Linked DNA regions of Sus scrofa. The protein of the gene in region 2 interacts with the protein of the main gene of each other region in a biochemical or structural test. Links are inferred from orthologs where the notes say so. Each region holds a gene or a part of one and is shown on either strand. Other genes may lie near its edges. The genes, in order: FER, ERBB3, HCK, ITK, BCAR3, NCK1 and SHC1.

Region 1 (3,972 bases), on a different chromosome or scaffold from region 2:
AATCTCAACTGCAGAATAATATAAGAATACAACGTCTTTTAGGCTTAAAAAATACAAATAAACAATTAAAACTTCTATAATACAATGAAAAAAAATTTTCTTTACAGCATGTTTTAGTTTCTTTAGAGTAAACAAAAGTCCTATTTAAAATTTGTTTTTCTAAATGTAGGGCTGTTACCTAGAGTAAAATAAATAACTCTGTTTAGAAAAAATATTCACTTTTCTTTGGCCCCCACTGAATACCCGTTTTGGAAAAGGAGGGTGGAGACAGGATTGACCTTAGAATTTGCTCCAGAGAAAGAATGTGCACCGTACAACACAATGCCTTTAAGAATGGACTACAGAAACACACCCTGGAATAGTGACTAATAACACCTATCACACTGTTACCAATCTCCTAGTTATCTTCGTTTAGTTCGAATTTCTCATTTTCCACTAAATTCTTTTGGTCAAGGACGCTTCAGGAACAACCCTCACTGGAGGAGCAAACCAACTTCGGTTCTTCACACACTCTAGACTCTGGAAGAGTTAGGGACCTACTGCAGGGGTCTACTCACAAGACCTGCCGTAAAGTTTTTAACCGCCTCCATCACAACTGCAACACTGAGTGTCTAACTTTTTTTAAAAAGAGGGTCTCAGGCAATGGGAATTATAGGAACGAGAAAGACAGTTCTCGCCTTTAAGGCACTCCGAGTCCATTGGGGAAGGTGAAAACTAGTTCAAGGGAATCAACGTTACAATAGCTGCAAGTAAGATATACAGAAAGAGCCACAGATTCTGAGGGTGAAAACTGCGTATTTTGGGTATTTTGGGCTGTAGGGTCCGCGCCCATTCCTGGAAATTTCAGCACCCGGGATCGCCAAGCAACCCCCCGGGCACACTTAACATTTTAATCACGCCTCCACCCCCACCCTCCGAATTCCTTTCCGGTTGCCGACCCGCCGGGTAGTCCCTTCCAGGCGGCCCCAGCTTATCACCCCCCGGCCCGGCCGGGAAGTGGCCGCGGCCAGGCGAGACTCCCAAAGTTTCCTGTGACGCTGCTGTCCGCCTTTGGCCGCATCCCGCCCTCACTCCCATCCTGGCAGCGTAGACACCAGCCAGAGAGGAGCGAGCTAAGGGACCAGAACAGCAGAGCCAACAGAAGCACCTCGGGACCCGGGCCGAAGCGGGGAGCGGGCTTAGACAGCAGCCGACGCAACTTCACGCCTCCCTTCGCCACGCCCGCAACCTCTACTCCGCGCGCGCCCACCGGGCTCGGAGCCCGAGTCCCACCCATCTCCGGCCGCGGCCAATCTGCCGCGCCCCGCCTCCTGGGAGGTGGTGGAAGAGGGGTTGGGGGTCGGGAGGCAGCGCCCGCCTTCTGCTGGTGCCCATTGGCTGAGACCTCGAGGGTGCCCAGAGACCGGAGTACAGCGGGATTGGCCGCGGAGGCTCGTGACAGCGGCGCCCATTGGCTCCGGCCGCCCCCGTGACGCGGGGTGGCGACTGGCTCCCGTGTCTGAGGGGCTCCTGCTTGTCAGGTTCTAGGTAGGTGAGTTTCGCGCCACCGGCGACAGGCGCTGTTGCCCGGGGCAACACCGGGGAAGGGGGGGAAGAGTAGGGAAGGCCAGCCGAGAACCGGGGCAATACTCCCTGCCCGCAGGGGGGCGCTTGGGGCTCAGCTCTGGTGCGGCGGCTGCGCCGAGGGCTCTTTCTCCGCCCTCAGCCACCCCCCTCCTGCCCCCGGCTTAGGGGTCTTGCCTCCGTCCTACGCCCGCGGCGGCGCATTCCAGTTTGGGGCTTGGGCCGGGCTGCCCACCCGGCTGGGCGAGGCCCGCTCCTCCCACCCACCCGGGACTAGACGCTGAGGGGGCTGGTGCCGGCGCGAGAGGGCAGAGCGGGCGCGATGGCTCCGCCCCGTCGCCGGGTCTGGGGGCTGCGGGGTTTGGGGCGTTGCAGGGAGGACTGTGGGCACCGCCCATCACGCCTGCACCCCTTTCTCTCGGCGCGCTCACTTCTCACTCGGCGGGCTCTCCGGCTGGGGCGGCCACCTACACCCCCTAGGTATTGCCCCACCCCTTCCTACCGCTGGGGCCCTGCGGTCTCCCTGGACCGGCGCAGTCCGCCCCCAGTTCTTCTCATGTCAGCTTCACCACCCCTTTTATCCTCCACCTTCCATCATATTTCAGTCCTGGCCAGGGGTAACCCTCGAGGGATAGATTAAGTCTGAAGCTAGCGCAACTGAGGCAATTTCTATTCCCTCTTTGCCATTTAGGGTTGAGGAGGTGTTTGGAGTCACCTTCGGGTCAGCTCTCTGCCTTAGTCTACTTTAGGATCAACTTTCTGAAACCCGCTAATTGGGTCGGTGTTGATAGGGTGGTACGTCATTGCACAAATTAACTGTGAAGTTGTTGCTTTTTACTTTTGGGCATTTGTGATTTTGATATATAGTACTGTGCAGTCCAGAGTTTAATAATTTATTAAGGCTGGTACTTTCATTTTCGTTTGCCTTATGGTTAAAAAATCTTAATCTTTTTAATTCATACGAAGCTGCGTGTATTCATAGTACTCATCAATTTGATATAACTTAAAGGTGTAGTGCCATTTTTTCTTTTTCTCAAGATAATTTAAAATGTTTTTAAAAATTCTCAAATGGAGTCACCGATATAAAAATGTAATAGAAAAATCAGTAAGAATAGACCAAAACTATTTTAGTAATTAAGACTAGAAAGTACTTTTCAACCTATGGAATGGGAACGGGAGTTTAAAAAATCTGTTGCAAAGTGTAATTATTTCACTGTGCAGTGTTGTAGTCCTGGTGTATGTAGCTACATGGGCTGTAGGAACACATATTTGTGAAGAGCCACACATTTGTCACTCAATACAAAGGAAGGCTCAGTGTATGTTTTGTGATTCGGGAAATCTTTTCTCTTAGTTCTCTCAAGAAAACTATGCTTTCAGAAGTATTGGAAATGTATTGAGAGTGTATAGGCATACTTGGCAACCCTTTCTCTAGTTTTTTTCATGAAAGACAGTTGGTGAAGATCTGTTTCTCTTACACACTGGTGGTTGGCAGCATTAAATACCTATTATGTAAAATTATATAGGGTCCAGTTAATGCAGCTTCTGCCGTATTTCAAAGGTTGATATCAGTAGTTGAAGAAATGATTCAGGCTTTTGATCGACACATTCTTTTCATCTTAAAGTGTTATGTATGTATAACTCTGGTCTGTGAATGTTTCTCATTTGCAGTTTTTTCCTCCAGTATTTTACTATGAAAAATTTCAAACAATGCAGGAAAGTTGGATTGTGTGCTGAGTACTCACCACTTACACAGCAGTAACATTTTCAAGACGGCTTTTATATGGTATATATATCCTCAGGAACAGAGGAACTGAAATTATCAAGTTTGAAAACCAGTATTATATAAATATATGTGTATCACACCAAAATGTTGTGGATTACTCATTTCTCTTTGTAGATGGAAATAGTGTTTATAAAGACTATACTGATTTAATTACATGAAACTATTATAAAGCAGTCCTGTGAGTAGAAAGTCATCATCTTTTTAAATCAAGGGCTAAATGAATTAATTGCATTTTGGCAATCAGAAAAAAACGAAATCTGATAACTCGTTATACAAATAAAAGTTTTGTCTTAAAATTGGACTTGTGTTAATAGATTATAGTTTTGTACTTGATTTTTTTTTTTTTTTTTTTTTTTGCTTTTTTAAGGCCTCACCCTCGGCATATGGAAATTCCCATGCTATGGGTTGAATTGGAGCTACAGCTGCCAGCCTATACCACAGCTACAGCAATGCCTGATCCATGCCTTATCTATGACTTACACTGCAACTTGCTGTGGAGCTGGATCCTTTACACGCTGAGAGAGGCCAGGGATCGAACCTGTGTTCTCATGGATACTAGTCAGCTTCATTACAGCTGAGACACAATGGGAACTCCTGTACTTGGTTTTTAAATGAGCATCTTTGGA
Region 2 (2,162 bases):
GCGAGTGTGGAAGGAGACCCGGAGTGCGTGGAGCAGGGACTAACTGGGCACCAGATTTCTGTGGGATTATCCATGTACAGCCTTCCAAGTCTAGAGGCCGGCTCCCTCTGAAGATGGCACTATTGTTCCAACAACAGGCTTTGATGGCACCTAAGACGGACACTTTTTTTTAAAGTTGTGAAACGTTTGAGAGTTTCAGTATTCTACCTCTTGGGGCCTTTTCTAACTGCCCCAAACGTGTTTTGTTTGGTTGTTTTGTTACTCCCAGTTAGTCGGTTGCCCTATACAGATTCCTAGTAAAACGCTTAAATGAAAAGGACTGTACCCTTTGCTTGTCTAAAGAGACTATAAGGAAAGTGGGGCTGGAGAAAGCTACAGGGGGCCAAGTAGGACTGTGGGGAGACAGAGAAGGAAGCATGCCATGGTAGCCATTCTCTGCTGTGGAACGGAGAAAAGGGCTGATCTGTCCACTCACTAAAGTTTGTCGTTAGACAAGAAGCTGCAAAACCTTGGCATCTTTATTCAGACATGTATAAAAACAAAACAAAAACTTGAGGGATAAAAACAGATACTCCCAGTTTCCCATTCAAAGGAACTGAGGTCTGAAGCCGGGTCCTCTTTTTCATCTCCACTGGAAGCTTCCCACTACTGAATGAGAACTGCTCCTAAAAAATGGCTCTGGGGACCGTCTGAGTCTGTCCCTTAGGCAGATATCATATGTAGCACACGAAGATTACGGTTTACACAGAGATGTCCAGTTATTTTTCCTTCTGTCCACCCCCTTACTCCCACTTGCTGAGATGAGCAGTCCAGGTGTAGGAGGAGGCTGTGGATATTGGGGTTAGACTTGATTCAGTGCAAACACAAGAAGACAATACCTCTTACTAGTGCTCTGACTTTCATCAGTTTTCTTTGACACCTTACACTAAGAGCATGGTGCATTGGAAAATTTTGAATCCTGGACCTGCTACTTGATTTACTTAATCTCCTTAAGGCTCAGTTTCCTTATTTGTAAAATGGGATAATGCCTAGCTCACAGAATTGGTGTCAAGGATTAAGTGAGATGGGTAAGTTTAGATGATACTTGGCACACAGTCAACGTTCAATGAACAGTAATCATTACTATATACTCCCAACCTCTTTCTTCACAAGATTTTTAAGCATCTCATTCTTTCTAGGGGGTTAAGAATCATAAGCCAAAAATCTCACTTTCTCCTGCCATTTTCCCTCCTTTCCTCTTCCTTAAAAGTCTGCTGGGAAACAAAGTCACACTTTAAAGCCTAGTCTCAACAAGTCAGAGTCTGAGAGAAAGGGATATGGGGAGGAATCCTTCATATCTCCAGGGAGTTCCCCTGAGAAAGTTGAGGAATAGGATTGGGAAAGAGCACAAAATAAGGAAAACTATCTCCTTTCCTGGGATTGGGAAAGAGAAGAAAGTGCACAGCTGGCTATATACCACAAGAACGTTGTGTCAACACGTTTAAGGCCTCCAAAGTTTGAATGGAATTGTCTGGGACTAGGGAAATGGCGCTGAGACCTGTGAGGGAGAGGGGCTAAAGAGAAGAGGGGTACCCTCTAGAGGCACTAGCTGCCATCAAATGCTCCCTGAGGTATTCAGGAAGCAGAGGTTATGTTCTCTGGGCATTAGCCTTGGGGAAAAGCCTGCTATGCCAGTAATCCGGGTTATCAAAGGCGGAGTCAGTGGCTTCTAAACTACGTAGAGTTTTGAGGCGGGCATAATGGACCTGAGGGCCATGGTGTCCAGGCCCCTGGAAAGCTCTCATTTCTTCATACCCTTGCTCAGCTGCTGGGCAGGCCTCCATGGCTGCATAATCCCCCCCAGGACCCCCTCCACCACGTCGCCGATTCATATATTCATAGTCCTCATCTGGAGTTGTGCTGGCATTGGGCATGGTGGGCACAGGGTTGAGTGGGCAACTCTGTGTGCTGCCCAGGGAAGCACTGAGGTCTGATCCCACATCCATGTACTCATAACCCAGCTCCTCGAGGGAACTTGGCCTTGGGGGACGAGCTGGACTGCACCTTCTCCTCCGGTTCATGTATTCATACTCCTCATCTTCTTCTTCTTCCTCGGTCCCCAGGACAGAACTGAGACCGACTGAAGAAAGGGTGCCTTCCCGGGAGGAGGTACCTGGGGGGTT
Region 3 (4,184 bases), on a different chromosome or scaffold from region 2:
TGGGAATTCAAATTAAGACCAGTAGATGGTGTCAAGGGTCAATCAAGATATGGGGAAGTGACCACTGTGGCTCAGTGGAAACAATCTGACTAGTATCCATGAGGACGCAGGTTCCATCCCTGGCCTTGCTCAGTGGGATAAAGATCCGGCGTTGCCATAAACTGTGGTGTAGATCCCAGACAGCGACTCAGATTCTGAGTTGCTGTGGCTGTGGCGTAGGCTGGCAGCTGCAGCTCTGATTGGACACCTAGCCTGGGAACCACCATATGTGGTGGGTGCAGCCCTAAAAAGCAGGGGAAAAAAAAAAAAAGATATGGGGAAGTGGTGGGAGAGGAATCCAGGCAGCAGCCATTACGTAAGCATTCTTGGTCAAGCAATTCTTTATGAAATTCTCACATGGGTTCATAAGGAGACACGTATGAGGCGGTCCATTGCAGCTGTGTTTATGGTACTGTGAAGTAGTGTGCCGTCTGGGCATCCATGACTAGGGGAATGGATACATAGACTATGGAGGATGTAGACAACTACCTTTGGCAGCATAGCTAGATAGTAACAGTATCGAGTGATAGAGTGGGGAAAAAAGGCAAAACTGAATACCTACCACCCAAGTAAATCAAGCACACAATCAAAACATTATCTGCTTTTTAAAAGTGCAGGCATGTATTTAGGTACACACACCAAACACATAAGAACAGGGTTATTATCTTTCTCATTCAAGTTTCTGTTCTCCCTTCCCACCCCTCCTCAGATATTTGGTTATGTCTGGATACATTTTTAGCTGTCACGAATGGGGAAGAGGGTTTGCTACTAACATCTAGTGGATGAAATTCAGGAATTCTTTTCAATATCCTACTATGCACAGGACAGCCCCCAAGACAAAGAATTTCAGGACCTAAAGGTCACCAGTGCCATGGTTGAGAAGCCCTGTGTAGCCCAGAGCCCAGCACAGTATTGCTGAATGAATGAATGAGAGATGAAGGTGGCCTGAACTGGCTAGGAGCAGTGGGACTACAGAGACGCAGTAGGATTCTGGAGGTGTGTTCAGCAGAATTTTGGGTGAGAATCCTTCTCTTTCCAGGTGGAGATATGCTGTGCCCTTGCCTGGCGCTGGGCACATCTCTTTCATGTGCGGCCTCCACTTGCCGTCACTCAGTTTTGGAACTCCTCTGAGCTACCCGGAAACCGACAAGGAGTGAGCTAGGCTGGTTCCTGCGGGCAGGGCACTTTGCATGGATTTGAATAGCGAGGGGCCTGCAGAGCGGAAACCGCAGACCACAGAAGGGATGGGAAGGCTTAGGACCCGGCCTGGGGGAGGGGCCTGGGCTAGAAGGAGGGGTTTGGAATGGTGGGGAAACAGGTCGAAATGCTTGGAGGAGGGGGAGTGGATTTAGAATCCTGTACGAATGACGACAGTGGGGTGAAGATCCTCCGGAATCGGTTTAGAATCCTTTAATAGGTGGGATCAGAAATCCTGGAGGTCAGGAATGGAATCTTTGAATGGGTCGATGAGAATCTGGAAGGGGGGGGTCGGGCGTTTAAAGGGTATTAAAATCCTGTGAGGGAGTTCCTGATGTAGCCCAGCGGGTTAAGAACCGATTAGTATCATGACGATAGGGGTTCGATCTCTGGCCTCGCTCTGTGGATTAAGGATCCAGCATTACGGTCAGCTGTGGTATAGGTCGCAGACGAGGCTCGGATCCCGAGTTGCTTTGGCTGTGGCGTAGGTCGACAGCTGTAGCTCCGATTTGACCCCTAGCCTGGGAACTTCCATGTGCCGCGGGGTGCGGCCCTAAAAAGAAAAAAAAAAAAAAAAAATCCTGTGGGAACAGGTTAGGATCACCTAAGAGAGAGATTAGAATCTTTAGGATTAGGGTCATAAATCTTGAGGCCTGGGTTAGAATCTTTTTTAGAAGCCTTTGGTTGGCCGGGATTAAAATCCTGGGGGCAGAACTAGAAACCTCCCGTAGGCGAGGTTAAAATTCCTTCCGCTGTGAGAATCAAAATCCTTCAGGGCAGAATTAAGACCTTGGGAGGAGATGGGGTGTTGGGGTTCTGGGGAGGGCGGGGTTTAGAATCCTTTGGGACGGGGTTAGGGCTTTGGGAGATGGAATTCGAATACATTAGAGAAGGCATTAGGTTATCTGGGGGTTATGACCTTTGAGAGACCGGTTAAAATTCTTGGAGGCGGGGTTATCCTTCTGGAAGGAGGTTAGGATTCTTGGGGACAGGGTTAGAAGTTTTGGATGGGCGGGGTTTAAAAATAATTTCCTACTTGGTGGGATTAGGATTTTGGGGAGGTGGGGACGGAGATTAGAATAACCCGGGTCGGGTTAGAATCTTCGGGGGCGGGTTTAGGATACTCGGGGGCGGGGTTAGCACCACTCCGGGCGCGGCTAAAGCGCCCAGATGGTCTGTGGGCGCCAAGGCGTCCCAGGTCCTAGCCCGGGCGCAACTCTGGGCGATTGGGAGGGACGCAGACAGCTCAGCCAAGAGGGGCCCCCAAAAAACAACGCACCGAAACACCTCGGAGCGCAGCCCCAGCCTCTTCTCCAAAGTCACTCTCTCTTCCCTGCGGCACCGGCGCCCGGGCACCCCGGGATCTGCCGAGCTGGGGGGTCGCTCCAGTTGCGAGGACCCGGGCTGCCCACCGGAGGAGGAACGGGCGCCCAGGTGAGTTTCTCGGACCCAGGATCGGGCGACATCAGCTCGTCACCTTGGCCTGACGGTCTTCGGGCTGCGGAGGGAGCCCAGGGTGGAGAGCGGGGAAGGTTGGGCTGCAGCTGGAAGGGACCGTCGGGGAAGCGGATGACAGGTGGCCGGATGGGGGGACCGAACCCTCCGGGAGGATGCCCAGATAAATAGCAGAACTGCCTGGCTGAGAACCTGGGAAGGCTCGAGAGTGACTTTAAGCCTGAGCCGCCACTTCTCTGGGCGGTCCAGCTTCCCTTTCTGCAAAAGGAAAAAAAAAAAAAAAAAAAAAAAAAAGTCTTCACAGAGCCCGGGGAGGGGAAGACCCTTACGATTCCTGGTTGGGGTGGATGATGGTCACAGTCACGGCGGGTTGGCAGCCATAGTGGGGAAGGGGACAGCTGGCCGTAGGCGTGACGTGTGAGCCACACCCAGGCAAGGCTGCAGCTGGGTCTGCTCGCTGAGCTTGCTCCTCCTCCCACGCTGGGCCCTGATCCCCAGCAGTCTAGGTTAAACCCCAAAATCCCCTGGACAGACCACAGGATGCCTGGCCCCTCCCTTTCCTCCTTGTGAGACCTTGGACAAGTCACCCTCCCTTTCTAAATTCCCTTTCCTCATCTGTCAAGGAGCACTATCAATTCTTCCTTCCAAGGCTGCAGTAAGCTAGAGTGTGTTAGAGATCACTATTGTGGCAGTTTAGTGTAATAGTTAAGGAAGAGGTTTCTGGGAGCAATCTGCCTGTTGAACCTTGGGCAGGGGATCTGGTCTTTCTGTGCCTCCGTTTCCACAACTGTAAGATGGGGATAATTAAAATAATGGTTGTGTCATAGGGTTGTTTTGAAGGTTAGACTGAGTTATTGAAGGAAAGCTCTTAAAGCACTGCCTGACAGGTCGACGGCTTAATTGGTATTCACTACTATCACAGCTTTTAAGGATTAACCAAGTGGTTCTCGAACTTTATCTGTGCATCAGTAGCACCTGGAAGGCTTCTTACAACCCAGGTTTCTGGGCCTTGACCCCAGAGTTTGTGATGGAGTAGGTCTGGCACTGGAGCCCAAGAATTTGCATTCCCAGGTGATACTGATGCTGCTGGTCCAGGAACCACACTTTGAGAACCACTTTGGACGGCACAGACAAGGGCCTCAATAGATAGCAGTTCTCAAGAGTTCCCTGGTGAGTCAGTGGGTTGAGGATCTGGTGTTGTCACTGCTGTGGCTCAGGTTTGATCCCTGGCCTGGGAACTTCCACATGCTGAGGGCAAGGTCAAAAAAAAAAAAAAAAAAAAAAAAAGTCATTTAACATACAGCCCTCTGTCTCAAAAAACTATAACTGTGCCTTGACTGCTGACTGGGTCCCAGAGTTTTCTGAGATGCTCTTCCTGGGTTTAAATCCTCAAATTTGGCTCAAATAAAATTTTCCATTAGGAGTTCTCGTCGTGGTGCAGTGGTTAACGAATCCGACTAGGAACCATGAGGTTGCGGGTTCCATCCCTGCCC
Region 4 (4,065 bases), on a different chromosome or scaffold from region 2:
AACACATTTTTCTAAACATCCTTTTTATAGGCCAGGCACCATAATGATGTCTGAGTTTATAATGGTGAACAAAACCATACATAGTCCTTACCATTAGGGAGCTTCTGGACTAATGGGGGAGACAAACATTAACCTCAACAATCACCCTCTAAAAAGTGTAACTATCATAAGGGGTGTGGTATAAGGTGCCATTTGCATATAATTGGCGGGTTTGACTTGGTAAAACTAGGAAGGAGACTAGCAGTATAATTTAGAGTTAAAGCAGGCAAAGCACAGCAGTAAAGATGTTTTCAGGTAAAGTGAGCAGATGTTCAAAGTAGCATGTGAGCACACCTGAGAGCCCATGAGTGAGCTATGAGATGAGACTGGCAAGCAAGTTGGAAGGCAGCCCTACAGTGCTGCAGGTAGGGGCTGTTATTCCCCTTTGTAGGCAAAAAAAGCTGAGGCTTTCTGTTCTTGAGAAATTGGCTGCAGTCTCACAGCTAGTTAGCTGGTGGAAGCCAAGGTGTGGGAGGTAAGGATGTCCTTGTCCTAATCCTTACCTACCATTAGTTTACATGATAAACATACATTCGTTTACATGATAAAGGGGAATTGAGGTAGAATATGGAATTATGGTTGCTAATAAACAGATCTTGATATAGGAAGATTATTTTAGATTATCCAGGCAAACCCAAAGCCATCGTAAGGATCCTTAAATTTGAAGAGGAAGGCAGAAATGGTCAGAGTTGTATGAGTTGAGAGGACTTGACCTCCTAATGGTGGCTTCAAATGTAGACAAAGAGGGCCTCCAGTCAAGGTGCACAGGTAGTCCTAGAAGCTGGAAGGGGCAAGGAAACAGAGTCTACCCTAGAGATCCTCTAGAAAGGATGTCACAATCCTGCTGATATCTCGATTTTAGCCCAATGAGACCCATTTTACATTTCTGAACTACAGAACTGAAAGATAATGAAATTTGTGAGGCAGTAAACTTAAGGATAAGTTGTTACAGCAGCCAATGGAAAACTAATACACAAACTACACAACCTATGTGCATCATCTCCAGAGCCCATGTTCCTACCTCAACGGTTGAACAGGCTAACCCAGTAACTATAAAGATTAAACTCAAGGCCATCAGGTCATTTTGAGTCTAAAGTTCTTTAAAAATAATTTCTAAACCATGCAGCAAAGGGTATATATAATTTTTACATATGTCTCATAGTTTTATGAACTTCGAAAGGATGTGGTTATGGGCTTTGACATCAGAGAAGCTTTGCGATGTTGACTGACTGTTGATAGAGCGATAACATTGGAGGCACGTTGCCTTTGAACAAAGCTCTCTGAAGATCAACTGCCTCCCCGTCACAGTCCTTTCCCTGAAGCTGTTTGCTCTGGTTGTGCTGAGGGGTGATGCCCGAGGTGCATCACTTTTCAAGAACTGGATCATGAACAACTTTATCCTCCTGGAAGAGCAGCTCATCAAGAAATCCCAACAAAAGAGAAGAACTTCTCCTTCGAACTTTAAAGTCCGGTTCTTTGTTTTAACCAAAACCAGCCTGGCATATTTTGAGGACCGCCATGGGGTATGTGAGCACTTTCTTGTTCGTCTTTTTCTTAAACAGTACTTTAGAGTTTGGGCTGAATCATGAAGATATGCATAGAATAAAATACGAACACAGGGAACACGGATGTGCTTCTTAACCACCTAAAACGTACAGTAAGGGTAATTGGAAGAGAACATGGAGAAAAGTCAAGATACAGGATAATTGTATTAGGTGATTTTAGTTCTAAAAACTATAAAAGAACGTTTATTATCGTTAGCTTTGTCTTTTCCCTGCATGTTAAGTTTAACTTTTAAACTACATTTTTTTTATGGCAAATCAATGGCTAAGTGAAGGGTCCAATGTTAGCATTTTTATGGACTCAGTTTTATTTGTCTCAATCTCATTACTCACCTGACATTTGGAATAAGAGTCCCTGAGCATTTAACCGTCGAAAATTTGCAAGGCCTAGTGGTAAACCTCTTTATCCCTGGAGAACCTCCCAGGAGACTAGGAATCATGCATGAAGGGTTGTGCAGTACCAGGCAGAGGTTCTTATCCAGATTGCAGCTACTTACCTGTCAGTCTTTATATATCTAATGATATTCTTATGTTGTATAACATCAGTAATAGTAAAAGAGACAATGAATAATCCTAACAACATAGTTTGGTACAAAAAGCCCTGGAAGAGGGGTCAGGAGACCAAAGCCTACTTCTCTCTAGGTGAGTTAGCCTGGGCCAGTGTCTCTGCTTTACTCGTTAGGTTTTTTCTTTATGAAATGAAAGGACTGGAAATACTACCTACAACATTCCTTTCTTCTTCCTTTTTTTTTTCTATGAAGTAGCATTTGTATAGCTTTTGTTCGCATTTTTTCAAAGTGAGTTTGACTTCTTACTATGTCATTGTATTATTTTTCCATCACCAGGGAGGTGGGGAAAATGTTAGGTGCTTGATGGTCACTTAGAAACAAAGGTTATTTTCTTTCTTGGCTAGGATCTGACTAAGTAGGTGTAGGCACAAGTTTGGGGTCTCCTAAGAGCCAGGGTTTGTAGTGTTCAGTGAAATGGAGTCCTGAAGGGGACCAGACTGGGTATGGAGGCTATGGATGACTGGGCTTCTAAGACGCAGAAGAAATAATATTGCCTCTTCCTCAGAGGTGAAGAATCAACTTAGGCAGATTCTTACTGGTAATAATCCACCAACCAGTCAGGACGAATGTGGAATTACTTATGTGTAAGGCCCCTTTGGTAGGTATTCAATAAGTGTTGGTTGACAAAATTAATGGAGGGCCAAGAGCCAAGTTTTCATCTTGGAGAATTCATCATTTAGAGCTGATTAATCACACAGCATCAGTCAGCTTTTTCCTATTGTGAATAGGACATTAGAAACTCTTGTTTCATAGCCAAAGAGCAGTTGTTTACCTGTAAGTATTTCTTTCAAACGCAATTTTACAGTTTTCACCAATTTTTTTTTTCTGATTCAACACTCAACATAGCATCACCTCATGTAGTTAGTACCAATCATTTTTTGAGCATAATTGTGAACTGTTTGGTTGTGAATGCTGTACCATAGTATTTGCAAAGAGTAAATGGTCTTTTTTCAAAATTTTGTTTGTTGTCATTGGTATGCAGACAATGTTGTAGAATAATTCAGCTTCTTCATTCGAACACTATGAAAATTCTAAGACAATGAATTCATTCTGGGGAGCCCTGAGCTATAGTTTCTAATATTTCCATGTGGGAAATAGCAGATATATAATATACAAACCTCACATTCTTATTTTCTAATGTGTATGTTCTATATGCATAAATAATATTTTCAAAGTATTTCTTTAAATATTATAGAAATTTATGATTAGAAATTTTTCTAGGGTCACTGAGAAAAGTAAGATAAGTGGTTATTTTTTATTCTTCATGCCCTATGGATATTCCATTGCTTAAGACCATCAGTTTGCACACAAGAGTACATTGCGCATTGCCCATAAATAACAATAGCATTATACTGTGGGAAGAAAGTTTTAATTTTTTTTTTTTTTTTGTCTTTTTGCCATTTCTTGAGCCGCTCTTGCGGCATATGAAGGCTAGGGGTTGAATAGGAGCTGTAGACACTGGCCTACACCACAGTCACAGCATGGTAGGATCCAAGCCACGTCTGCGACCTATACCACAGCTCACGGCAACGCCGGATCTTTAACCCACTGAGCAAGGCCAGGGACCGAACCCGCAACCTCATGATTCCTAGTCGGATTCATTAACCACTGAGCCATGATGGGAACTCCCGAAGGTTTTAACTTTTAATTAAAGCCTCAATTTTGCCATCTGTAAAATGGGTGTGATGATAGTGTTCACTTCATGGGAAAAAATGGTAAAAATTAAGAGAGAATGTATTTAGACTAATCTATTTGAAATTACCACTTGGCAGATCAAAAAAAGATCAAATATTTGCAATTTCATATAGTTCAACTTAATATATAAAATACTTAGCCTAAGTTCTGTCACCTTGTGAAAATCTAGTAAAAAATAGGTATTATTTATATCATCATTT
Region 5 (3,500 bases), on a different chromosome or scaffold from region 2:
TGCCCTCCAAGCTCATCTATTTCCCTGTTCTGACGGTACGAACCTTCTGAGACCATAAAGTGACATTGCAGCCCAGCTGTCAGTCGTCACTGGGGCTGAGATCTCCCCCAGAGGTCGGGCGGGGCCCCGAGCCTTTGACCTGCTCCAGACCGGCCTGCAGCCGTCCTGCTCACTTCTCTCTTGAGGGTGGACGTTGAAACCCCAGGGCCCAAATTGAGGACCAGCAGCCGCCACCCTGGCTTTGTCCTTTTCGCGTTCTCCACGCAGCTGAGCCTTTTCTGAGCCTCTCTTTCCCTCTGCAGGCGGGAAGCTGCCCCCCCAGTCCCCAGGCGTGGGCACAAGCCCCAGCCCCGGCTCACCTGTTTTCAGGACCGGCAGCGAGCCCACCCTGAGCCCGGCGGTGGTTCGGAGGGTCTCCTCGGACACCCGGGCAGGGGAGGCGCTGAGGGGCTCGGACAGCCAGCTGTGCCCCAAGCCGCCCCCCAAGCCCTGCAAGGCACCCAGCCTCAAGGCGCCCCCATCTCCAGCCGTCTGGCCCCCCTCGGAGGCCAACTACTGCGAACTGAACCTGGCCTTGGCCGCGGGCTGCGACGGGGCCGCCCGGCCGCCCCTGTGTGCCCAGGACAGCTACGTGGAGCTGCTGACGGCCAAGCAGAATGGGGCGCCGGGACCCCGGACCTCCGACACCAGCTACCTGATCCTCGATGACGACGACGGGGCACGGCCGTGGGGGCCGCCGCCGGCCCGCAGGGACCAGGGGCGGGAGGACGAGGGCGCGTTTGTGCGGCCCCTGCTGGAGACGGCCTCCTCCTTCAAGCCCAACGACTTTGAGTCGCAGCTCCTTCCTCCCGAGAACAAGCCCCTGGAAACGGCCCTGCTGAAGCGGGCCAAGGAGCTGTTCGCCAGCCACGACCCCAGGGTCATCGCCCAGCACATGCTGAGCGTGGACTGCAAGGTAGGTGCGCGCGGCGGCTGTGGTCGGATTTGCAAACATTTGGAAAGAGCCTCTGCCTGGGCCTCGGTCCGCCTTAGCTTGGACATGCTTTTTGCTCACCGGAAAGCTCAGGTGATAACCCGGGCGTGGGGTTTATTTAAGGGGTGGGAACTGCAGGCCGGACAACCCTTGTCCAGGCGGGACGCTGGTGAAGTTCACGTGGGACAGAGGGTGGCGGCCCAGGTCGTGCCTCTTCTCCGTCCCCACCCCTGCTGTGTCCTTCTCTCTGCTGCCGTTCAGGTCTCTCCGCGCCTCAACTCCATCAGAACAGGTAAAATCGAGTCCAAAGGAGACAAAAGTGTAGTTTCTGGAGTGACAGAGCCTTGGTTGCCGTTCTTTCCCGATGCGCGATCCATGTATCAGTTCTATTCATGCATGTGTCGTCGTTATGAAAATAGTCTTTAGGATAAACTTTTTTTTGTTTTATTTTTGGCCACCCCATGGCACATGGCACTCCTGGGCCAGGGATCGAAATCTGAGTGGCCATCATGACCTAAGCTGCAGGTGCGGCAAGGCTGGATCCTTAAACCACTGTGCCAGGCTGGGGATCAAACCCTCGCCACAGTGCTCCCAGGACGCCACTGATCCCATTACGCCACAGCAGGAGCTCCCAGGATGAACTTTTTTTTTTTTTGCCTTTTCTAGGGCTGCACCTTTGGCATATGGAGGTTCCCAGGTTAGGGGTCTAATTGGAGCTGTAGTCACTGGTCTACACCACAGCCACAGCAACGTGGGCTCCGAGCCACGTCTGCAACCTACACCACAGCTCACGGCAACGCCGGATCCTTCACCCACTGAGCAAGGCCAGGGATTGAACCTGCAACCTCATGGTTCCTAGTCGGATTCGTTAACCACTGAGCCATGACAGGAACTCCTAGGATGATCATTTTTAAACTTGCTTGCTCAATTTAGAAAAATAATAAAATACAATTGTAAGATACAATTTTAGAAAACATATACAGTGCAGATTAAAAAAGAGAAAAAAATCACACTCAATCCAGGTTCCTGGTGATCCTCCTGGTTAACAGATGACATGGAAATGATTGCATGCGTATGTAAGTGTTTACCACAGAGCTGGCACAGGCCATACCTGCCATTCCAAACCCTTGTTGTCTTTGATTGAAGAGCATTTCATGATTATCTGTCCAGGGACCACATAAAGCCATGCTTACATCATCACTTTGGAGAGGAAGCGTTTCTTTTAGCCATGGTGGCTTTTGCTGCTTTTTTTTGAGAGAGCGATTTCTAGAGAGCAGGTGTTTAAGGCTACAGCGTGCTCGGTATCAAGAGGCGGATCCCTACATTTGAGCAACAGATAAGGCCTTAGTGCCATGGCTTGTAGTTCAGTAAAGAAAATTAGCTTCAAAGGTCAGGGCTTGTTGAGGAACTGGGTTTTCCTAACTCAATTTCCTGGGTCATGAATCATGGCAGGAAATGCGGAGTCAGAGCACTTTCCACCCCCACACCCTAGAGTCCCTCAGTTGGCGAGGCTCACAGCAGCACAGGGGGCCTCCCCAAACCCCTCCGGGGAATGTTAAGCAGGTACTGGCTGCTCTGGGGTGAACAAACCCCTTCCTTGAAACAGGACCGAGGCTGGGTCGTGGTCCGTGTGAGTGTAGAGGGGCTGCCAGGACCAGGGCTGTCCCGCGTGTTTGGCTGGGTATCCTTGGGCACTGCCCACGCGGTCAGATCATTTGCCTTGTCAAGACCTTACCGCATTGTAAAGCAAGCTCAACCTGTTTGGGCAGGAAGAGGATTTAGGTCCTGTTGTAGGAAGTTCATGATGGGCCCTGGATCTGAGAGCAGAACCACACTCACCGGCCAGGAACCCGTCTGGTTCTCCAGGGAGGAAGCTCCTTGTGGGAGCGGAGTCTGCGTTCACAGAACATCCCAATTCTCAGCAGAGGGTGACTCCCTCTCCCCTGGGGCCTCAGGTGGGCTTGGTGGGAGTCTCGGAGGACGCAAGACGCCTGACCACTCTTTGCAGGACAGTCTAGAATCTTCCCACTGGCAGCCGTGAAGCTAGAGCCAAGTCTGTTCTCAAATGAAGGACTGGGCAGCCTGCCCACCTCCTCGTTCTGCTTCTCTGTTTGCATTTTGTCCTCCTGGTGGGGGATCACTCCCCCGCCTGCCTGCAGGCCCCCATGAGAAGAGCAGGGGGTGGCTGGAATGGCTCATCATGGGGCACCGCTGTCACTGCCCAGCTCAGAGTCAATGCTCTAGAGGTGTTGTCCCGCCTCTGCACCTGTGAGCTGCGTGGCCCTGGGCTTTTCCAGGAGACCTAATCCAGGCTCTGCACTGAGCTCAGGAGCCCTTTGCCCCAGAGCTGAGCCTAAGGACAGGCAGGTGTCGGCATTTCCTGGTCACACCCCCGGAAAGTGACTGGACTGCATGTTTACACAAAGGAGAGCAGACTGGAGGTTTCTCTGGTGGAGAAGGGAACACTCTGGATACTTGTGCTTCCAGAATAAAATGTGTCAGCGACAGGCCTTGGACTCTCATTACG
Region 6 (4,019 bases), on a different chromosome or scaffold from region 2:
CAATGTTATGTGGACACAAGTCAAAGATAAAACCAATTTTTATGTCTGGCTAATTTAAGGCAGAATAATATCACTAAAGACAAAGTCAGCATATGGAATCAGTTTTCATGGGAAAGCTATAAATTCTATCTTTCAAATAAAGTGAGAAATATCCAGATAGAATTGTTGCCTTATTAAATAACCCTTAAGTGTCATTTTTGGCCCTGTCAGTAGTCTTCCTAAAACAGCACAGCAAAGTATTTATGGAGAACTTAAGTGCTTAGTGATTTCAAGAGTTTCCTCCAATCCTAGTTATTAACTAAATAACTAAAAAATCATTTAGTCTTCTGGTATAAGTAGAGAGCATTTGGTATTTTTCTATAAAGGAGAGCAAATTGTGAAAATTATTAAACTATAAGGGAAAAAAATGGACTGCATTTGTATCTATTAAGTCTTCCTGACAAGTGATTTACAACAATAATCACATCTACCTTGAGCTTTGGCAAGAAAGCTCTCAAAGGTTAAGAAATTAAAATAAAATAGAGGAATGAACTGAGGGTTTGGGGAGGAAATGTTCTAAAATTGAGATTGTGGTGTTCTGTTGTGGCTCAGTGGTTAACGAATCCGACTAGGAACCATGAGGTTTCGGGTTCGATCCCTGGCCTCGCTCAGTGGGTTAAGGATCCGGAGTTGCTGTGAGCTGTGGTGTAGGTTGCAGACACGGCTCGGCTCGGATCTAGTGTTGCTGTGGCTGTGGCACAGGCCGCCAGCTACAACTCCGATTCGACCCCTAGCCTGGGAACCTCCATATACTGCAGGTGTGGCCCTGGAAAAAGAAAAAAAAAAAAAAAAAAAGAGTAAAATTAGGTTGTGATGATGGTCGTACAACTATAAATATGTACTAAAATTCACTGAATTAAAAAAAGAAAAAATGGAGTTCCTCTCGGGGCTCAGTGGAAATCAATCTGACTAGCATCCATGAACATGCAGGTTCCATCCCTAGCCTCGAGCAGTGGGTTAAGGATCTGGTGTTGCCATGAGCTGTTGTGTAGGTCACAGACGCCTCTCAGATCTGGCATTGCTATGGCTGTGGTGTAGGCCGGCGGGTGTAGCTCCCACTCGACCCCTAGCCTGGGAACCTCCAAATACCACGGGTTCCGCCCTAAAAAGACAAAAAAATAAATAAATAAAAATTTAAAAAGAAAAGAAAAATCCAATGGCATGATAAAAAATGTTTGATGTATGCTTCAAGTTTTATTTACAAAGACCTCTAAATCTGGACTAAATATAATGCTTAGAAAAAGAAAGCAAACAACTTAAAATTTAATACATGAACAAGCACAGCTAAGAAATCTTGACCATTCTGCATAGAATGCTTACAAATCATAATTTCCAAAAAAGAAAGTCCCCACGTTTGTGATCAAGATAAAATAAAACTATTAATCAACCACTGCATATTTCTCGAGTTTCTATCAAACTGTGAATGGGATGCCTATTTAAGAACTAAACATTATTGACAATTATCAAACAGATAAAACCTTCTTCTTGGATTATTTCCCCATTTACTATGCACTCATAGCTGAAGATGGAGACTTTGGGTACAGTGCTTTCCAAGTGCTTAATAAATTGTACAAATTGTCTTTCATAAATCTGCCGAAGTTAAGATTTTAAAAAGTGAATACCTCTTGCAACACTTACCAGTTTTGTCCGGATATTCAGCTTATTTGCTCACCACCCAATACAGGATTAGAAATTTCTCCTTACCTTCTTTCCTAACTCTCATGGTTTCTTACCAAATCCAACGGCCAGAATTATTTTTAGGTAACTAATTCCTTAGTTAGACATTAACTGAGCGCACATAATGTTAGGGTTCTCAGACCCGAACAAAATCCAGCTTCCCGAGTTTCTGACGGCTAATTTAACTTTTATGGACACAGATAAGAAAGGTTACAAAACCAACTATCGAGATACATTCTTTTTACTGGATATATTAGAACACAATATAGTCAAAAGCTCATAGTTCAATCAACTCTCGTACTAATCTACCGCAAATCCACAAGATTAAAATAACCCGTATTTTTCCAGTAGAAGGGAAAGGAGGGGGGGACTGGAGGGGGCGTATGGCGCATCACCAGGATGTCCACCCCCAACACAGGGAAACGCTCCTTACCCCCACTCTCAAGCTGGGGGTGTGCACGCCCCTGTCCTCGTCTACCACGTCCCTACCTTCGCGGCCTCGGACTGCGCCACAACAGCCAACACGACTTTTGGTTAGGAAAAGAAACGGGGTGGGGGACACGCGCCACACATTCGACCTCCCAGCCTCACGGGGCCGCAGGCCGCTGCGCTCAACACGACCGGACTCCCAAAGGATGGAGAGGGAGGCCGCGGGGCCGCGCCGCCCAGGGCAGTGGCCAGAGGGTCGCGCGCAGCAGCCAGGCAAATGCCTAGGCCGGGACGAGCGGCCTCCCCGCCCCCTCCGGCTCAACTCGGGGCCGGCAGACGGCGCCCCCGGGGGCTAACTTCGCCGGGGAAGAGGAAGTGCCGCGGCAAGTAACAGGCTGTGAAGACTCTGGAAGCAAGGAAAAGCTGTCCGTGCGTCTGCCTGCCGGCAGGACCGTCTCACCTCCCCTCTTGCCGAGCCCAGGCGGCCCCAGCTCACCTGAGGAGGGCACCGGGATGCCACCGCGGCCACCGCGATGGCCGTTAGGGCACGAGGCCTCCGCTCTGCCGCCGCGTAGCTCTGGGGAGAGGGGCGGGGCGCGCGGCGAGTGGGCGGGGCTGCTGTGCGGACTGGCTGCGAGGCCGCGGGCGGATCCGCGCGGGCAGGAAACCCCCTCCCTGCCCCATCTAATAGGCTCAGCCGCTCCGTTCCCTCCTATCACTGACGCGAGAGCGATCTGCGCTGCGCCACGAGTGGGCGGGCCCCTCTGTCAATCAAGCGTTGTGCTGGGTGTGGAGTGAGCTGAGAAGGCTCCGCAGACAGCTTTGAGCGAGCGGGCGAGGAACGCCGGGCCTGCATCTGATTCTTGTAGCTTTTGTCTCTCTAGCTGATTACTTTGGACTTTCTCAGCGCCACAGGAGAGAACCCACAACAGAAATGACGGCTTCCCGAGGTCAGCCCTTGCTATTCTGGACGCTTCCTCCTGGTTTCCGCATCTGAAGAAGGTCTTGCCAGCAAAAGGTTTTTAAGGGCGGGGAACTTAAAAAGCAAAACAAACATAAAGACCTGGAAATGGGGACCTGAGAGGAAAATGTCAGACATATGCTTAAATTGAGCAGCAAACAGAAATAAGCTGAGTCTGAAGGCCTTCGAAGGGTCCTGGTGCGTGGGTAGCTTCCCGTCTTGGCTGCAGAAGCCTTGCTGTGAGGAGAGCAGTGATCTTTGGTGCCAGGTCTGCCCATTCTTAGCGGCCCAGCCCCAGTCACCGGCCATCAGTAAGTTGGTTCTCCCGCGACGCCAGCACTGCAGCCACCCTCCATTCCCTGCCATCTCTGTAGCTCTGCTTAGGTGTTGCCCCCTTAGGGAAGACTGCCAAGGTGCACAGATATTGTCCCCACCTAAGCTGTTGAAAGAGTCAGTCCGTCTCCCTACCGACACTGTACATTCAGTTAAATCAGGAGCCATGTCAGTATACAGTTTTTCCCCAGTGCCAAGCACATGCTAGATCGTCAGTAAATATTGTTTAGGCATTAATACATCTTCCAATCCCATTTTTAATCCTGGCCCTAAATTCCAAGAGTTTCTGCTTTTCTATATTTAACTTCAAAATTGTTTGCGTGCTGATAGAGGTGTGTGGTTCACTTGCTATATATAGGATCACAAGGTCAAGCACAAAACACCTATGGTCCAGCCCTTCCTGGCCTCAAGTTGGCTAGAGCAAGTAGACCACACTGAACTCCAGGCAGCAACAACTCTACATCTATATCCCATAACTAGCATCTAAAGTGAATAATGTAAGTGAATTTTGGATTATTCAAAGGGTCTAAATACCTTTGCATATTTTATCATGGACTGAATTGTGTTCCCTACCAAAATT
Region 7 (4,269 bases), on a different chromosome or scaffold from region 2:
CCCATCCCAAGCCCCTCTCTCCTCTCCCACCACCTTGGTGCACTCCCCGACTCACCGGGTCCCCGCCGGACGCAAACGAGATGGATTGCATATGGTGGTTGGCGATGATCTGAGGGTTAGGGCAGAGGATGGAGAAGGAAGGGAAGGACGGGTGTCAGGCAGCCTGAGGGTCCACTGGGCACCCCCCACCACTGGCCCGGGACCCCAGCGTCCCTTTGGCTTCTCAACCCATGTCCTCCTAATCTACACCTTCCCTACAGCTCTGCTGCGCCCAAGGCTTCTCTGCTAAGTTCTTGCCCTCGTGGCCAGGTTCCCACTGAGCCTTCCCATCGGTGTTTCTGCACGCCCTCACCCCCCGCCCTGACCCTGACTCCACCCCACCAACCTGTTTGCAGTCTGCGGCCATGAGGTTGAGGCTGCTGGTGGAGACGGTGAGAGTGATTGGCATTCCAGCAAATTTCAGGTTACTCCTCCCCAGGATGGAGCTGAGTGGGCGGCCACAGGGCTGGGGAAGGGCCCCAGGTCTCAGAAGCTGGGAGATCCCACACCAGGAAACCGCCCGCACTCCTGCCCTTCTCCCCACACGCGCCACACTAGCCTTGCCCCTGCTCCTCCGCATCTCCCGGCAGCATCCCCCGTGCCGTGGACCCCAGGTACCTTTCTCCTCCTTGTCGCCCCCTTCGCACCCGGCACAGCCTCACACACCAGACTGATGGCCTCCCTGGGGAAAGAGGGGTACTCAGACCCAGAGCCTGCCTCCCACTCGGCTGGGGCTGCCACAGGGCTGGGGGAGGGGAAGGCCAGGCCAGACTCCAGGGGCACTCCAGGCTCTTTGTCGTGGTGGATTGAATTAAGGGCCTTTAATATTTGATGACACTGAGAGGCCGCTTCCTGGCTGATTGGGTTAGGGCCTCAGTGGGTCTGGCCCCACCCCCTTCCAGCTACCAAATGTCCCAGCCCCTTCCCAAAGGCGGTGGTGGTGGTGGTGGTGGTGGTGGCGGCAGTGGTGGTGGCGGCGGTGGTGGCGGCGGCAGCGGCGGGCAGCAACCTTCCATCTACCCCCATTTTCCACTCAAGCTCCAGCTGCCAGCTGCCTCTGCCACCTCCCCCACAACTCCCCAGGCTGGATACGTAGAAGGAGCCGGGTCAGAGTTGTCTCTTTTCATTGAGACTTAGACTGACTCTCCTACCTGTCTCTAAATCGCCTTCCCCACCCAAAGACAAGCCAGCACTAGCCACCACCACCAAGCGACCCCCTCCCGGCCTGAATGCCAGGAGCCCTGCGCTCTCGGCCCCGCCTCCCCACGAACCTGGTGACCTGAGTCCGGGTGTTGAAGTCCAGGGCGCGCATCGACTGCAGGACCTCCACACAGCCCATGTACTGAGGGGAGGGATGCGAGGAGGAGAGTCAGCCGCCCCCCTCCAGCCTCTTCACAAAGGGCCGTAGGACTCTGCCCTACGTGGTCCCTCAGGGAAGAAGAGATGAAGTTCTGCCCCGCTGCCCGTGGCTCCATCCCACAGAGTGCAGGACAATAGGGGGTGAGGAGAGAAGGGCGAGCTAGGAGGACCTCCTGCACAGTGGGGGGTGGGGGGAGGGAATTTGGAGGGGAGCGACAGGCCCTGGCTGGGATGGAGTGACAACTCCAGAAAGGGGGAGCAGACTGGAGGGGAGTCACTCAAGAGCCACTCATTCCAACACTTACTAAGGGCCTGTCCTGGGCTTTGTGCTGAGCATGGCAGGCTGGGGGTAGGGGTGGGGGAGTCGCAGGACCCAAGGGGACCCAGACAGAGCTGGAAGAGAAGGGGCTACAGAATCAGAGAAGGCGCACAAAAGGCTTAAGAAACAGGACACGGAAACCAAGGGAGTTGCTGGGGAAAAGAAGGGGCGAAAAAGAGAGACTCATGAGCAGAGGAACTGAAGGGGTCAGGGAGGGAGGACGCTCACTCACCCGAACCAAGTAGGAAACCCCGGGTCCCATGACTTTGTCGTTGGGATGCAGCCAGCCCCGCGTGGGCTTATTGACGAAGCTCCCGTGGCGGGTCCACTCCTCGCCCCCCAGCTGGCCCCCTTCCACCCGAGTCCTGCGCCCGCCGCCTCCACTCAGCTTGTTCATGTCCTGGAGGAAGGGTAGGGGGCCCGAGTCGGGTACAGCTGCCCCGACGGTCCCCTCCCCATCCTCGGCTGCCCTTCCTGGCTCCCCCTTCGGCCCTGGGCGCCCCCCAGCTGGGTTGGCCAGCTTCAGGTTGCTCATCCGGGGGAAGAAGGAGCACAGGGTGGTGGGGCTGTCGTCCCCTGGCAGAGGTGGCAGCATGGGCCCCAGGGACGAGGCTGACGGGGAAGGCAGCTCCTCTGGTGGAGTGGACCCTGAAGCCCCCTCCTCCAGCGATGACAGAGACTCATTCCGAAGTGGGTTGTACTTGGGCTTGGGGGGCAGGAGATCCATGGCTGGAGTGAGAGGGAGGCTGCTGCCCAGCCTGGCCCCCCTGCCAGTCAGGGCAAGGGGGCCAGGCAGGGGGCATCCCCAGGCCCTTAGCCTGATCGGACCTCTGTGGCCCAGGGGTCTCAAGGGTCCTGGGGAGGGAGAGGGACAAGTGGCTCTGGCTCCCGCGGCTCAGACCCAGACAGTTCCAGGCCCCATCTCTGCCCAGCGTGGAGCCTCTTCTCTGGCTGAGAGGAGAACAGGCTGGACCTAGAGCTGCCTGGCTCCTCCCCAGGGGCGGGGAGCAAAGGGGAGAGACCAATCCCGTGGACAGTGCTGACTCACAGGCTCTGAGGGGCTGAGCCCCCAACACCGCCCCAACCTAGAACTCTTTCGGGGCAGAGTGCACCGTGCCCCCACCGCCCGCCCCACCCCCGTCCCCCCCCCCGCCCCCACCCCGGCCCACCCCGTACAAACAACATGTAATCTAGGGAGGAGTAGAGTGGGATTGGAAGGGAAGGATGGAGGGGTGAGAAGGAAAGGAGGGCGATAAGAGGAGGTCTGGATCAATCCAAACCGGACATGGGCAGGTCAAAGGGAGCAGGAAGCTGGTGGGGGGAGTGGGGAATGAGGGAGGAAACAGAGGCAGCTGGGGGTGGGAAAGGGAGGGGATCCCTGAGCTCAGCATTTCCCTTCCTGTCCTGGTCGAACACTCAGATTCCCTCATCCCCCAGCACCCCCTAGTCTCGGTCATTAGCATCCTCCGCTGCAACAGCCGGGGAGGGAGCTACAGAAATGGGAAAAGGAAGGACATGGTCCCGGTGGATGCAGAGAGGGGCCAAGGGGAAGGGCAGAGCTGGTGAAGTAAGGGAATGAAGTCCCTTACTTCATCATCATGATGGGTGTTGCATCAGGGAGCCACCAGGCAGGAGCCGGAGCAGACGACAGGCTGGTGGAGGCTTGTTCTCTGCATGGCGTCTACCATGCCAAGGAGCAGCAACTCATGCCAGGCACCCTTCTGCAGCCCCCCACCACTTTCCGCAGCCAAGCAAGTTATCAAGGGTAGGAGGGGTGGGGGCTGCCAGGGCACTGACACTAACGTCAGTGCCCTGGACCTGCAGGTAAGCTCCTACCCCTCCTCTGGCCGTAGGGACCCTAGAGAGTACAGGTATCCACCACAGAGCCCGAGGCCCCACCCCGCCAGGGGCAGCGTCTGGCTGGGGAGGGGAGAGTGAAACAGTTCTCCAAGAGGAGGGGGACGGGGGCTACAGGCCACGAAGGGATAGGGTAGGCAGAAGACCAATCTGTGCCAAGGGGAAAGGAGTGCCAGGAAAAGGAGGACTGAGGCTGGACACAGGAAACAGTCTCAAACCCATTCCTTCCACCCACAGCTTCACGCCAGCTCTGCTCGAGGGGGCCATGGAGGCAGCTGGAAAGTGACCAAGAAATAAAGAGTGAAAGATATATATAGCCCCCCAGGCTGGCCTCGGAATATCTATCCTTAAATTTATCTCCCAGGATAAAAAGACAGCAAATAATCATAGGATTATAGTGATCAACAGCACCAGCACTTCGAACGTGTCAGACACTGTGCTTATCACCTCCTCTTGGTCCACAACGGAGGAGAGCTTTGCCACTCCATTTGCCACTCCTGGGAAGAAACTCTATGGCTCTCTTTCCTAAGGCCTCAGCTCCCAGGCCTAGAGAGAATGAAGAAAGTATGCTGCCGGAGCCTCACACCTTCCACACACACAAACACACACCAGGATGTGCTCATCTTCAGAGGCAGGCATTTGGTGGCTGCCTGCAGGATCCAGAGGTCGTGGATGACCAACAGGTGTGGGCATCG

The links.
Region 1: the proteins of ERBB3 (region 2) and FER form a complex in vitro, tested with the Homo sapiens proteins (2 studies listed by BioGRID and IntAct, with this or other methods). The link is inferred for Sus scrofa from reciprocal best matches to the Homo sapiens genes ERBB3 and FER.
Region 3: the proteins of ERBB3 (region 2) and HCK form a complex in vitro, tested with the Homo sapiens proteins (2 studies listed by BioGRID and IntAct, with this or other methods). The link is inferred for Sus scrofa from reciprocal best matches to the Homo sapiens genes ERBB3 and HCK.
Region 4: the proteins of ERBB3 (region 2) and ITK form a complex in vitro, tested with the Homo sapiens proteins (2 studies listed by BioGRID and IntAct, with this or other methods). The link is inferred for Sus scrofa from reciprocal best matches to the Homo sapiens genes ERBB3 and ITK.
Region 5: the proteins of ERBB3 (region 2) and BCAR3 form a complex in vitro, tested with the Homo sapiens proteins (2 studies listed by BioGRID and IntAct, with this or other methods). The link is inferred for Sus scrofa from reciprocal best matches to the Homo sapiens genes ERBB3 and BCAR3.
Region 6: the proteins of ERBB3 (region 2) and NCK1 form a complex in vitro, tested with the Homo sapiens proteins (2 studies listed by BioGRID and IntAct, with this or other methods). The link is inferred for Sus scrofa from reciprocal best matches to the Homo sapiens genes ERBB3 and NCK1.
Region 7: the proteins of ERBB3 (region 2) and SHC1 form a complex in vitro, tested with the Homo sapiens proteins (2 studies listed by BioGRID and IntAct, with this or other methods). The link is inferred for Sus scrofa from reciprocal best matches to the Homo sapiens genes ERBB3 and SHC1.

Annotation. Positions count from the first base shown.
Region 1 is NC_010444.4:113,772,948-113,776,919, forward strand, and holds the start of FER (tyrosine-protein kinase Fer), read left to right. Parts: upstream 1-1,172; 5' UTR 1,173-1,527; exon of another isoform or gene 1,528-1,531; intron 1,532-1,940; exon of another isoform or gene 1,941-2,043; intron 2,044-3,972. UniProt on the Homo sapiens protein: Tyrosine-protein kinase that acts downstream of cell surface receptors for growth factors and plays a role in the regulation of the actin cytoskeleton, microtubule assembly, lamellipodia formation, cell adhesion, cell migration and chemotaxis.
Region 2 is NC_010447.5:21,493,379-21,495,540, reverse strand, and holds the end of ERBB3 (receptor tyrosine-protein kinase erbB-3), read right to left. Parts: intron 2,153-2,162; coding exon 1,629-2,152; 3' UTR 501-1,628; downstream 1-500. UniProt on the Homo sapiens protein: Tyrosine-protein kinase that plays an essential role as cell surface receptor for neuregulins.
Region 3 is NC_010459.5:35,707,189-35,711,372, forward strand, and holds the start of HCK (tyrosine-protein kinase HCK), read left to right. Parts: upstream 1-1,384; 5' UTR 1,385-1,456; intron 1,457-2,097; exon of another isoform or gene 2,098-2,670; intron 2,671-4,184. UniProt on the Homo sapiens protein: Non-receptor tyrosine-protein kinase found in hematopoietic cells that transmits signals from cell surface receptors and plays an important role in the regulation of innate immune responses, including neutrophil, monocyte, macrophage and mast cell functions, phagocytosis, cell survival and proliferation, cell adhesion and migration.
Region 4 is NC_010458.4:66,079,464-66,083,528, reverse strand, and holds the start of ITK (tyrosine-protein kinase ITK/TSK), read left to right. Parts: upstream 1-1,265; 5' UTR 1,266-1,424; coding exon 1,425-1,562; intron 1,563-4,065. UniProt on the Homo sapiens protein: Tyrosine kinase that plays an essential role in regulation of the adaptive immune response. Regulates the development, function and differentiation of conventional T-cells and nonconventional NKT-cells.
Region 5 is NC_010446.5:123,646,571-123,650,070, forward strand, and holds part of BCAR3 (breast cancer anti-estrogen resistance protein 3), read left to right. Parts: intron 1-302; coding exon 303-955; intron 956-3,500. UniProt on the Homo sapiens protein: Acts as an adapter protein downstream of several growth factor receptors to promote cell proliferation, migration, and redistribution of actin fibers.
Region 6 is NC_010455.5:77,862,436-77,866,454, reverse strand, and holds the start of NCK1 (cytoplasmic protein NCK1), read right to left. Parts: upstream 2,801-4,019; 5' UTR 2,642-2,800; exon of another isoform or gene 2,206-2,641; intron 1-2,205. UniProt on the Homo sapiens protein: Adapter protein which associates with tyrosine-phosphorylated growth factor receptors, such as KDR and PDGFRB, or their cellular substrates. Maintains low levels of EIF2S1 phosphorylation by promoting its dephosphorylation by PP1.
Region 7 is NC_010446.5:94,821,365-94,825,633, reverse strand, and holds the start of SHC1 (SHC-transforming protein 1), read right to left. Parts: upstream 2,801-4,269; 5' UTR 2,445-2,800; coding exon 1,950-2,444; intron 1,382-1,949; coding exon 1,311-1,381; intron 722-1,310; coding exon 658-721; intron 506-657; coding exon 386-505; intron 110-385; coding exon 56-109; intron 1-55. UniProt on the Homo sapiens protein: Signaling adapter that couples activated growth factor receptors to signaling pathways. Participates in a signaling cascade initiated by activated KIT and KITLG/SCF.